Linked DNA regions of Caenorhabditis elegans. The protein of the gene in region 2 interacts with the protein of the main gene of each other region in a biochemical or structural test. Each region holds a gene or a part of one and is shown on either strand. Other genes may lie near its edges. The genes, in order: ifa-1 and ifp-1.

What was found.
Region 1: the proteins of ifp-1 (region 2) and ifa-1 form a complex in vitro, tested with the Caenorhabditis elegans proteins (one study listed by BioGRID).

Annotation. Positions count from the first base shown.
Region 1 is NC_003284.9:11,270,769-11,276,153, reverse strand, and holds ifa-1 (Intermediate filament protein A), read right to left. Parts: upstream 3,358-5,385; coding exon 3,249-3,357; intron 2,885-3,248; coding exon 2,813-2,884; intron 2,765-2,812; coding exon 2,601-2,764; intron 2,554-2,600; coding exon 2,440-2,553; intron 2,392-2,439; coding exon 2,294-2,391; intron 2,218-2,293; coding exon 1,358-2,217; intron 1,311-1,357; coding exon 1,171-1,310; intron 1,122-1,170; coding exon 903-1,121; intron 850-902; coding exon 811-849; 3' UTR 672-810; downstream 1-671. UniProt on the Caenorhabditis elegans protein: Cytoplasmic intermediate filaments make up the structural component of the cytoskeleton providing mechanical strength to cells.
Region 2 is NC_003284.9:9,675,230-9,682,091, forward strand, and holds ifp-1 (Intermediate filament protein ifp-1), read right to left. Parts: upstream 4,941-6,862; 5' UTR 4,938-4,940; coding exon 4,827-4,937; intron 4,761-4,826; coding exon 4,647-4,760; intron 4,173-4,646; coding exon 3,888-4,172; intron 3,400-3,887; coding exon 3,022-3,399; intron 2,977-3,021; coding exon 2,812-2,976; intron 2,765-2,811; coding exon 1,885-2,764; intron 1,597-1,884; coding exon 1,526-1,596; intron 1,477-1,525; coding exon 1,324-1,476; intron 1,126-1,323; coding exon 1,018-1,125; intron 929-1,017; coding exon 863-928; 3' UTR 644-862; downstream 1-643. UniProt on the Caenorhabditis elegans protein: Cytoplasmic intermediate filaments provide mechanical strength to cells. Not essential protein.

The DNA.
Region 1 (5,385 bases), 1.6 Mb from region 2:
AGCATTTACAGAAATCGCCGAATCAATTCGTTTATCACTGGTCTAGTTGTCACAAGTTTTTTGGTAACCGCTGTACAACGAATAACGAATATTAATTTCTGACAGTCAGAAGAACACAAAAAGCATACATATCTCAAAATCGCTTTCTATTTTTTTATTGAAATAATATAGCAAACTGTAGTGCTCAGTGCAAATTTAAAGCTCATTTAAAAATGCAATAGATGTGCTTTTAGATGGAACGCTGAAAAAGTATTTGGTAACAATTCCAGCGGAAAAATATTTTGTTAAAACCCTAGACAGTTTTGTAGTAGCTTCATTTTCTCGAATCAAGCGCAGTGACCATAGTTTCAAAATATTTTCCCTTGTTTGGCATACGCTCCTACTTCAAAATTATATTTAAAAATTTAAAACATTATATTCGTGCAACTGGAATTTTAAGAAGGACAACACTTTAAACTTCTCAGTAACGCGAGTTTTAGATGTCGACGTCGGCTCATCTCGCCGATATACAATTATTTACGGCATTTCGTTCAGCTCTATTGATTAGTAACCAAAAACATACGCTTCCATTTCAGGTGGGCGAATTCCGACGATTTTGAGAATTTTACATCATCTGTTCTATGAAAATAACCTACGCAAATACATTGTGATCAAATTTTTTTTTGATGTTTGAATGATAAATGATTTATTGAAATAAGGTCAAATAAATGCGCAGAAATCAGCATGAAAGTTACAAAATGGGAAGAAGATTTTGGGATTTTCAACAAGAAATTGTCACAATATCTAGTTAATTGTTGGGAAGTCGCCTGATTAGGCAGTGCTCTGGCGTTGGATGTGGGTAGCACGTTCCTGAAATTAATATCAATGTTGTAAATATAATGACATTTAATTGTTGATCTCACCTCTCCTTCTTTGTTGAAGAGGATGGTTTGGACGTTGTTTCCGCTTCCGAACGAGTCTTCAGCATCATAGACCAATTGATCTGGTGGTGAGGCAACTCCTTGGTTACGGGCGAAGATTTTGAGGGTCTTTCCGGCACGAAGGACAAAGTCTCTTGGAAGCGTGTAGACATTCTCACGTTTTCCGTCGATACGTCTCTTCAACTTCCACTCACCGATAGCCTGAAAGAGAACAAAAAATATTTGAAACTGTTGTGATTCAAGTTCCTACCTCGTCCTTGGCACGATGTGTGTTCTGGAGGACGATGAACTTTCCATCCGGCGATGCCTCGTGGATAGAAACATTTCCCTTTGCAGAACGCTGGAACGATTGACGGGATGCAGTTTCGCCCTTGACGACTCTCATCGTCTCTGAAAAAGGATGTATGTTTTAATGGAAAAAATTGTCTTTCTGCTACCGGTATCGGTTTCCTGTGTGATAGCATGGGTCTTGACAACCTGTTCGACAAGTTGCTTGAGTCCAGCACGGTTCTCTTCTCCTTCGAGCATCTTTCTGTAGATGGCGATTTCGGCATCCAAAGTTTGTTTGGTATCCAGGAGCATTTGCAATTCGACCATAAGGGCTTGGCATTCCTCACGCATTTTGCGGATTTGGGAATCTCTGTCGTTGAGGGCTGCTTCATAAGATCTCTGATCATCTTCCAATTGGTAGTTGAGCTCTTGAATTTGTTTCTCGAGGAGAGAGTTGCGGCTTTCAAGATCAGCGAGCTTTCCACGCAAATCGCTGAGTTGGGTGCGGAGTCTTTTGACTTCTTCTTTGGCATACCCTTGTTCCATGTTCTGTCTGGCAGACTGCGTTTGGATCTCTTGGACCTTAAGACGATACCAGGATTCCATGTCATTACGGTGAACGTTGTTGACTTGGTCATATTCCTCACGGATGTCACGAATAGCCGAGGAGAGTTCGTTCTTGAAGAACTCGCGGTTTTCTGGAGTAGTATCACGAGAAGCCAAAGTTTGAAGCTCCTTGATCTCATTGTCATGGACACGACGCAAGAAATCAATCTCCTCAAGAAGAGTTTGAACTTGGTTTTGGTAGTCAATACGATTGAGGGTTTCTTGATCCAAGTCGGTACGGGCTCTTTGAAGCTCAGAAAGCAAACGCTGATTCTCTTGCTTGATCCGCTTCACCTCATCCTCAAGCTGAGCAATACGACGTTTCAGAAGGCTAATTTCAGCTTCAAGATTAGAAAGGGTTACTAGAAGTGCGTCGATCTTAGCGCGATCCTGTTCACGGCCCTTGGTGGCATCTTCCAATCTGAAAAATACATTTTGTAGAAAAAGTATAATAACGGTAATATGCTGTTCATAATTTTCAAAACATATGTTCGTACTTTCTGCGCATCTCAGCGAGTTCATCTTGCATCTTCTTGAGTTGACCTTCCATATCCTTGCGTTGCTTATTGGTTTCATCAATCAGCTTTTGAGCATCCTATAATATAGTTTTCTAACCAAAAGTTTCCTTTCTGTATTTTCCTACCACAAGTTCTCCCTCATACATATTACGAATGTTGTGCGTGTCTTTTCCCCATTTGGAACGAAGTGCGTCAAGATCGGCTGCCAATTTTCTATTCTGGGCTTCTAGGAAACGGACCTAAAAAACAACTATTGGGTGTGGTCCATCTTATTCCTATTACACACCTTTTCGATGTAGCTAGCAAGTCGATCGTTCAAATCGCTCATTTCTTTCTTCTCACGTTCACGAGAGTCACGGATGGTTGATGCAGCATTTTGTCCAAATGGCGACAAGCCGGATCCAGCACCTGAGCGCATCTCGGTCACAATTTTGAGCATACGATCTTGGGCTGGAATATGTTGATTTAAATGTTTTGCACAGACAACAATAAACTTACAAGTAACGTTTCCGGTTGTACGCCCTCCGAGCGGAGCTCTAGCTGAAGGTGTTGTGGAAGTGAAAGACATCGCTGCAAATCGTAAATTTCTATTGTGAAAGTGAAAAGGGCCGACTGTACTCGGCAGCTTCGAAATTTCAAAATGAGGTTGTGAGTTGTATGGCAACCCCTGACTGCCGTAATGTGTGACCAAGGAATTAGTCGGAGGCTGACTGTAGAGACAAAAGCGGAGTCTCAACGGTGCGCAAACTAGGTGGGCGTCAAATTTCTTGCACTGCTCCTCACTTTTTATTCAACATTTTCTACTCCTCCTCCTTCATTGCTACCAACCGCAGCTTCCTCCCACACTAATGATAATAGCATGTAGACAAAAGGGATTAAACGAAAATTGCAATTTTTTGAGTTAGTTGAAATTGAGGGCACAAGAAAGGCTTACTCTTTTCAATCACTTCGTAATTGACAGTTCGTGTGGAACTTTGCTCGCTTCGAGCGCTAGAAGCGCTTGATCGTCGCGAAGATGGAAGAGAAACAATATAACCTTCCATAGTCAGAAAATGAAATTTTTTGTTCCTCAACTCTTTTTATACATGGCGGCAGAACAAAACAGGCAATGCAAAATTAATATATTTCAGTATTCTAGACTGTTGTATAAAGAGAAAAAAACCTATGAGTAACCTATGAAAATCTATGAGGAGAAATAGAAAACTCAATCAAATATTATTATTGCCCTTTTCCACGAAAGGAAATGAGATCATAGTTGTTTGCCTATGTATATTTATATTGATTCAAGTCGGTGTTTGGAATTTTTTTGCAAAGGGAGGCGTCAAGAATCACTTTAAAATGGGTGTGAAGTGAGGACGGAACGGCGGCTTCTTGATATCTGGCGCGAATGCGGAAAAAAGAATAGGTGTGAGGGATGGGCGCGTCCTCCAAAAATCATCTCATCCTCAACTCAGTCAACCCTTACGTCGTTACGATTCCTCTCGATTCTACTTTTTTCGCCTATTGGACATGCGTTTTTGCATAAATTCATACGTTTCGAGGCTTTGCTAAAGTGCGAAATGACATTTGAGATTTTTTTGGGTTGAGGTGATTCATTTCAATTTGCTACCGTGCCTACGCACTTTTGTGGAAGAGGAGACAAAAACTAGACAACGCCTCGGAATATATGTTTGTACAAAATTGTTCAAAAATTTGAAGTGAGAAGAAAATTAGCCTTGAATTAACTTTGAGTACTCACGAGTAGTTTATTGATTGATGACTAGTTCAAATGGAATAACGGTGCAAATATGTTTGAAAAAGTTTAGAAACACCTACATATATAAGTTGCGAGAATATGTGTTAGTTGTCTGGTTTTCACAAAAGCGATTAAATCTGGGAACACTCCTATTCTACTTCTGTCACTTTCAAGATTGAATATGGATTCGTTTAAATGAAATTCAAGCAACGGATTGAGCTTTAACTATGTAAAACACTGTATTTTTTCAGCAAACACGGTGTTTTATATTAGCAAGAGTATTTAAATTGCTCAGGTCTAAAAAAAAGTGATGTTTTTTAAACTATATATACATTCAGAAATGATCTACCAAGTTTTTGTAAATAAACTCCTGTTAGATAATTTATTTTGCCGAAGTGAATGCAATTTTCAGCCAGTTACTTACCCGGACGAGTAGTAGTGTACATTTTTATATAAAAAAGTAGTAGGATCTAGTTGCAAAAATATTCACTAGTATAAGATAAGCCTATGCGGATAAATGTGATGCTTCAATGACAATCGGAAAGATATCTCAATAAAAAATTGCGACAAGGCACAAGAAACGAGCCTCTTATTTACCGATGTGCTTGTTCATCTTGCACTCCGTCTTATCTCACTGTTTCATTAATCTTTTTTCTTTAAAAAACGCATGCCTGTAATGTTATTTTTTCAAAGTTTTGAATTTTCAATCGCTGATCAGTTAGATTTGTTAGTCTATGGTAAGCACCTTACCGCGAAATACAAAGGCAAACATTCCGCAACTCACCTCCTGGAAAGTCATCGGAATAATTTAAGTAGTTAAAATGAAGAAACTCACTTTCTCTGGTAATCTCCATCATTTTTGAAATGTTGATTGGTTAGGTACCGCTTCTCACTGAGAGAAGTATCCGTTTGAACGAGTTTCTGGAAAAATGGGAAGATAAACAGTTTTCTCTGCGTTCCAGCATGGCGGTGTACATAAAAAAGATATCTCGGCTCAAACATCCAGGGCTCTCGGCTATTGAACAATTTTCGAAAAGTACATAGTAAAAGGGAGAGGGGTTAAAATGGAACAGAATGATGTGTACAGTAAACAAAAATAAATGGCAGCGGCAAAGAGATGAGGCAGTAGCAAATGCATAGAAAACGGCGGCCCCGTGGCAGGTGAAACTTCATAATTACTGAGGATCATCTACTGTCAACCGGTCTAAAATGAGCGAGAGATCGTGTGAAAGTCGGGGACACTGCGATGGTTGCAGTACAAAAAAGTCGACGCACATTTCATCAGTTTGAGTTGTTTTTAGAACTCAAAATCTCGCAATTCCCACAATTTTAAACC
Region 2 (6,862 bases):
TTGGTCACTTAGCAGTGCCAGATGTGAATATCCTAATGGTAGAGGATCGGGTTAGGTGACAATGTTTGAAAAAGAGGGTAAGTGGAAGACAGGCGCGCCGATAATGAGTTATGATATGAGTTGTCTATGCCTTTACTCAACCCACACAAACACCCCCGTTAATTAATGAGTGAATCATTTTAAATTTAAACTTGATACGGTTCACTTTTAAATGATAATAATCAACTTTTATCTCATCTGAGGTACTTTTTTGTACTTGGAACAGTTTTTAAAACATTATTTTCTTGGGTCACTCAAAACAGTCCAACGAATAAAATTGGTTTAGCAATAATTGACCGCACGGGAAAGCAATATTTTTACTTGGAAGTTGAAGTGTATTGCCAGATGAACTAGTGGAAAATACTCTGTAGCTTAACCGTTTATTTTTGAAAAAAAAAACCGCTGGAATTTTGTGAAGAAAAAATAGAATTCAAACTTCCATCAAAACTGATTTTCAAAAAAAACAAAAGCTGAAAACTGCTTCTTCTCTTTAAATAATTTCGATTTTAATCTCTAATTTTTGAATAAAAAAAAATTACATTTAGCAGAGTTTCGAAACAGAGCAGATGTTTATAATTGAATCGGGGCAAGTGAGCTTTTTTTGAGTAATAGGTTTATTTTAAATTCAGAATATGAAAGAAATACGAATTACTGGGATTGAATTAAAGAATTATTTCCTTTTTCAAGAAGTGAGTGGAAAAAAATAGGGGCAACGAGTAGAAGTTTCTTGATAAAAAGTGTGAAAAATGAAAACAAGAGAAAATAAAATATATATTTGTTGTTAGAATTATCATGTTATCAGAAATTTGGCATTAGTAATGTATCAATGATGATGATGGTCTGCATCTCCGATTTCAGTGTTGCTCGTGTAAACAAACCACGATTTCACCTGAAATATAATTGGAGTAATCAAAGTTATTGGCAAGAGGCCAGATGTCAATCAGTTGTGTTTACAATTGTAAATCAAAGACTATTTACCTCATTATTCGTGTTTCTGATTGATGTATTGGTATGGATGGTGGTATCGAAGAAGTCAATTTCAGCAATAACTGCTCCTCTTTCATGAGTTGCTCCACGAGCGTAGATCTGTAAAAAATAATTTACAGTTTCTAGTTTATCGGTGACATAGAAGTAGTATTCAGTTTTGCGCCGTTTGAAAAAAAACAATTTTTTTTTTCTACAAGTTAACACTGTTTTCAAAGCAAATCAACTTGAATTTGTGAATTCTAGGATCCTGAATGCTATTATATAAGAACTGATAAACTACACTAGAAAAAGCATAACCTTCAAGCTATCCTTGGGTGCAAGGATCAATCCAACTGGAAGATCAACATATACGCTCTTGTTTCCAAACTCGTGAATAAGTTTGAAGCCACCAACGTCTGCCGATTTTTTCGAGCTTCTATTTACAAGTTGAACAAAATCTGCAGTCACATCCTGTAAGAATTGTTCAGTCCTAATAATATTAAAAAGCAAAGAGTGTTACCGAAATCTTCACTCTCCCCTTGTACCATCTAGTGAATCTCTGGAAGTTGTCCTCGTCAACACTATCGGAACCTGGAATGCGTTTCTTTGTATTTTTTTATAAATATTTTTCTAGCGTGATAGTTCTCTCAACTGTCGTTACATAATACACGTAACAGTAAACTTTTAATCGTAAACGTTATTTTACGATTCGTTTGTGGTGGTTGTGTACGTTTGTCTTATCAGTAACTCTTTTTTCAAACTAATCTGGAAAAAACTAAAATGGTATGATACGATAGTTTTCGACAGCTTAAAAACGTCTCAAAGCTTAGCATTTGACGAGGTGTTGTCAGTCAATATTAAAAGCCGTCTTCCACTCACTACTGCTATGTTCAATTGATCCTTCATTGAGTAGAGTAGTGGAGATGCTATTGCTCACTGAGCCTGTTGCTGCATGATAGCTCGAATGATGTGGCCCTCTTTGGCTCGAGTTCCGATTAAAAGTATCGTAGTATGAGGGGACAGTAGCTCCTTCAGTCACTGGCGTAATTAGCGGGAAGTTGCTATTAATATGAGTGTAACCGGGAGCACGTTCATTAAAAATTGTAGGCTCAACTCGAGGAACGGCACCACCAATTGGATAAGGTTGATGTAAAGCATCGTTGCGACGAATTTCACTATCACGACGTTCGCTTGCAATCCTATCATTGACCGATGAAGTTGGAGTACGAGACGCGTATGGATTGTTAATCTGTGTTGTGTTAATCTGACCTCCCGCGCTAAGGTCTCTCACTAATCGGGTGTTATCTGAAGCACGAATTGTTTCAACCGAATGGCTTGGCAGAACCGGAAGTGTGCCTTGGAGAGTCTCGATTTGAATTCTCTCCCTGAGAGAAGATCGGCTATCAGCACGAGACTCCTGCTGGTACGGAGTATATGATGGACGAATCGGGCTCGCGTCCCTCGAATAAGTATATTCACGAATTGGTTGAACAGGAAGTGTAGCAGGAATTGGAATTGGCGTGTGAGTGATGGTCTCATGAATAGTGGTACCAGTTCTGGACGACGAGGAATCTCTCACAGCGTGATGAGCAGTGTGCTGAACTATTCCAGAAGAAGTTCGGCTATGGTGGTCAGAAATGCTGCTGTAGTTCTGTCGACTAAGCGCGCTTGCTATAACTTGAGTACTTGGCGCATTTGCACGAGGATCTCCAGATCTGTCGAGAAGTTCCCGATATTTTGCGATTTCCTTTTGCAAGTCCTGAAAACGTTAACAATTTAATAAACACACAAAATAATACAACATACAATGTTTAAGTCACAAAGTTTCTCCAATTCAACACTGATGGCAGTGCATTGCTCTCTCATCTTCTCAATTTCCTTTATTTTGAATTCCAAAGTATCCTCGAAAAGCTTGTTATTTTCCGAAATTTCCAGACGATAGAATTCAATTTGTTGAGTGAGAGAATTGTTCTGAAAATTACACAATCATCATGGAAAATAATTTCAAATTCTCACTCTGATTTCAACTTCAGAAACTTGTTTCTGCAATCCAGAAAGATTGTTCTTAACAATCGAAAGCTCCTCTCTCAGTTTGTCATAGCAAACTACTCCTGGCATAGTGGTATTCATTCGATGGATTTCCCTTTCCAAGCGAATTCGAATTTCTTCTTCGTTTCTCAATCTGTTAGCCTCATAATCAGCACGAATATCAGCAATTGCCTTGCGAAGTTGATCGCGGAAGACGTGACGATCCGCATTGCGATCACGAACAAAGTATTTGTGCTCATTCATGATAATCTTTTTGTTGTCTTCCTCCATATTTCGGATACTGTGCAACAACTCATTCTTGCGAAGAAGATATTCTTGTTGCAGACTGACAGCTTGATCTTTTCTCTGAATATAGAGAATTCACAGTCGATAATGAATAAGATAATGAGTCAAACTTCTTAACTGTGTTGACAAAAAATTTAGCTTATCACAAGGAACCTCGCGTTTTTTGAGAGGCAGTGCAAGTCTTTCATGACATTCACGCTACTAACTGAAAAACAGAAAACTTGAGCCAGCTAAGTTTTTTGTATGTTTTTTTTTTTTAACAGATAGTTTTTGGCTCAAAATTATATTTAGCATTACAATCATTATTTCCGTGTTGGGCGAAATGAAAACAAATCATTTCGAAAAAATAAAAAAATAAGTTTTTGAAAAAAAAAATTTATATATGTACCTACTGAATATATTTCAACAATCAAAATACCAGTGTGATTTAAATCTATCCCAAAAAACTGATATCCGAAAAGTTCTTATGAGTTTTTTTTCCAAATCTATCAAATTGAACCTCTATTGTTTTTGCATGTATTAACAGTCTTTTAAAAAATCGAACCCACCATTCTCATCAAATTAATATGCTCAAAAATTCTTCCATTGTTCTGTTTGATCAGTCTGAGCTTATCCTCCATATACTTGATTCTTCTCTTAGTGATACAATCTTCCATCTTGATATGACAGATTCTATGGAACTCATCATCAACCTCTTTGGGAACCCCCAAAGCTGATTTTGCAGTGTGTCTCCAAAGTTGTTCGGCTTCTTTGACTTGATGGGACAACTGGGTTTGCTCATTTAGTAGTTCGTGCCGGCTTCGGTTAATTTCTTCAATTCCCGATCTGACAGTCTGAAAAACAATGATAATATTGATACATCGTATGAATTAATTGTATACTTCAAATTGTTTTTAATCAGAAGTTTCATTTTTTACAGCTGACCAGAATGATAGTATGTTTGCTATCAATAGTAGGCGGCTTGCACGTTTCTAGTTGCCACTCCCTTTATTCTCTAATGATAATTAAAGAAATGAATTCTTCGGAAACAAACGATCGTAAAGATTATTGTTTGTAGTTAACGCGACACGCAAGCAAAGGAAATTATCGTACTCTACGAAAGAGCACAACTTCAATGTACTTTTAAGTCATTAAAACTGTAGGCTTCGTTTCTTTTAACGAGTAAACAAGTTCATCGCCGCTAAAACTTGTGTGAGGGAAACTGATGGTTTCAGCCCACACAGAAAGTAAATAGTGAAAACTGATAGCGCACAAAGAACAAGAATGCTGGAAGCGTGAATAAGACAGCTGCAACAATTGACACTCACCCTGATCTCAACATTGTAAATTTCATTAATTCCACTACTGTCGCTCTGGACTCCACTTTTTAGCAAATTGTAGTCGTGTTCCAAAGCAGTGTGCTCAGCTTCCATATAGTGGACCTGAAAATATTAAATATTTTGTTTTACAGTACATAGAAGAGATGATAGGCAATAACACAAACTCACATGTTCGATGATATCCACAAACTGATCGTTGAGCTGAACAAGGTCTTGTCGCTCAGAGAGCTTAGCTCTTGCCAGATGTAGTAGACAATCCCTAGCGTTAGCGGAATCCATGCGCTGAAACAGTAACCATAAGACCAGAAAGCAAGAAAATTCTAAAAGCAAAATGAAAAATTATAAAAGTGCGACTTGAAAGGACAAAAAATTGCAGAATAAGCAGAAAATAATCGAGTGCGTAAAACTTCTTATCAAAACTTGAAAAGGTGAATTAAAAAATGCAATAGGTGTACGAGCACGAGTGAAAACCGCGAATTTTCACAGTCGTGATGACAGGAAACCGAATCGACTCTTGGAAAATGTTTAATGGCATGCCATTGTGATAGTAAAGTAGGTGAAGAATGCTAGTGAGCATGTTTCACTCGGTTGGCGGTACTTTAGCACGTTTCTTATCACTATTAAAATAAAGAGCTATTTGAAGCGAGAGATAGATGAATCAAGAGGGAGAAGACATTTGTGTGGTCTATGGAGATGAGGGGGAGAGACTGATGCACCGATGTGGAGCAATCAAACTGTACTAACAATGGTGTAATTGTTGTAGGAGGTGGAAATGATTCATTGCAAGTTGCAAATATTAATTTACAGGATAATGTTTTTTACATTTCAGGAAGTTCGAGAAACTGAGTCATTTGTTAAAATACTTTTTATTTAGAAACTCAGTAATTTCTCCAACCTATTGAATTGAAGCTCTGGGCTTCAATTCAGCCCATTTCCGATTTGTTTTAAACATAATCAACTTACCTGGTTAATTGAGAGAACTCATGTAGAAACCATATATTTATTAAAAACAAATTCATCTTCACATTCAGCCGTATAATTGGCCAAAGAATAAATTTTACAAAAAATTTGCTAATGAAAATTTTTTCGCACGCAAAAAAAAAACAGTTATGCCGCTTTAGCTCCTCGAATTCAAAATGCTCCTTTTTCAAATTTGTTTCTATTTTTAATGATACTTCCATAAGTCTAAAAAATAAAAACGTGTGGAATATTTTTTAATTTTAAGCTTAGAAAATAGCCATTTCTAAGCCCAACGAAGAATGATGCGTACCACGTTTATATTGAAAGGAGAAATTAATGAAAGCTCAATTTAAATTTTAAATGAGGGCATACATAAAACACACAAGTACCGATTTTTTAATGTTCAATAGCTTTTGTTTTTTTGTTTTTCCAATGTGAAAACTGCATTTTCTATTGGTAATTTGTGAATCATAGTTACTTTACGCAAAATAACTGATAAGGAATCCTTGAACTGCTCAGGACTTCTCTATTAAAAGAATCAGCAAGGAAAAAATTCCCTGTTTCTTTCTTTTTTCTTTACTGTATTCTTGTATTGAATATATTCAAAAAGTGCGACAACTATGACGCCCACTTGCTTCTTTTCCGGTTTTCGTTTTGTTCATCATCACTCTTCGAGCTCTGAGATCAAAAACACGCCTGGAAGAAAGAACAAAATTAGTATTCCTCAACGAGTACAAATGCCTTTCCAGTTGGTACGCACATTTCTTGGGTAAATGTCGTTTGCTCCTAAACAATTGTCGGAAATTTTTTTGTGTTCAGTGTGATCAATGTTTTTTTATTGTTTTACAAATGTTTTTTTATTGTTCGTGTTAGGAAAGTGAAAAATAACATATTTACAATTAAAAATAGGATGAGTTCCGGGTTAAAACACTTAAAGGTGGAGTGCGGTCAATGGGGAAATTGCTTTAACAAACATTTTGCATTTATCGTGCTTTTCAGTTCTCTTTACTATAAAAATACAGGAATAATTAAGAAAATCAGTGAAATAATGAGAAAAATAAAATAAATTAATAAAAAAATAATGCAAGTACGCTCCATCGAACAAATCCAATTGGCGGAAGTTCAAATAGGAATTAGGGGTAAACTGAGATTTTTTCATTTTTCAAAAAATCATTTAAAATCTTAAAAATTTGTTTGTTTTTTTTAATCATGATATTGGTTATTTTTTTGGCGATCGGCGATTA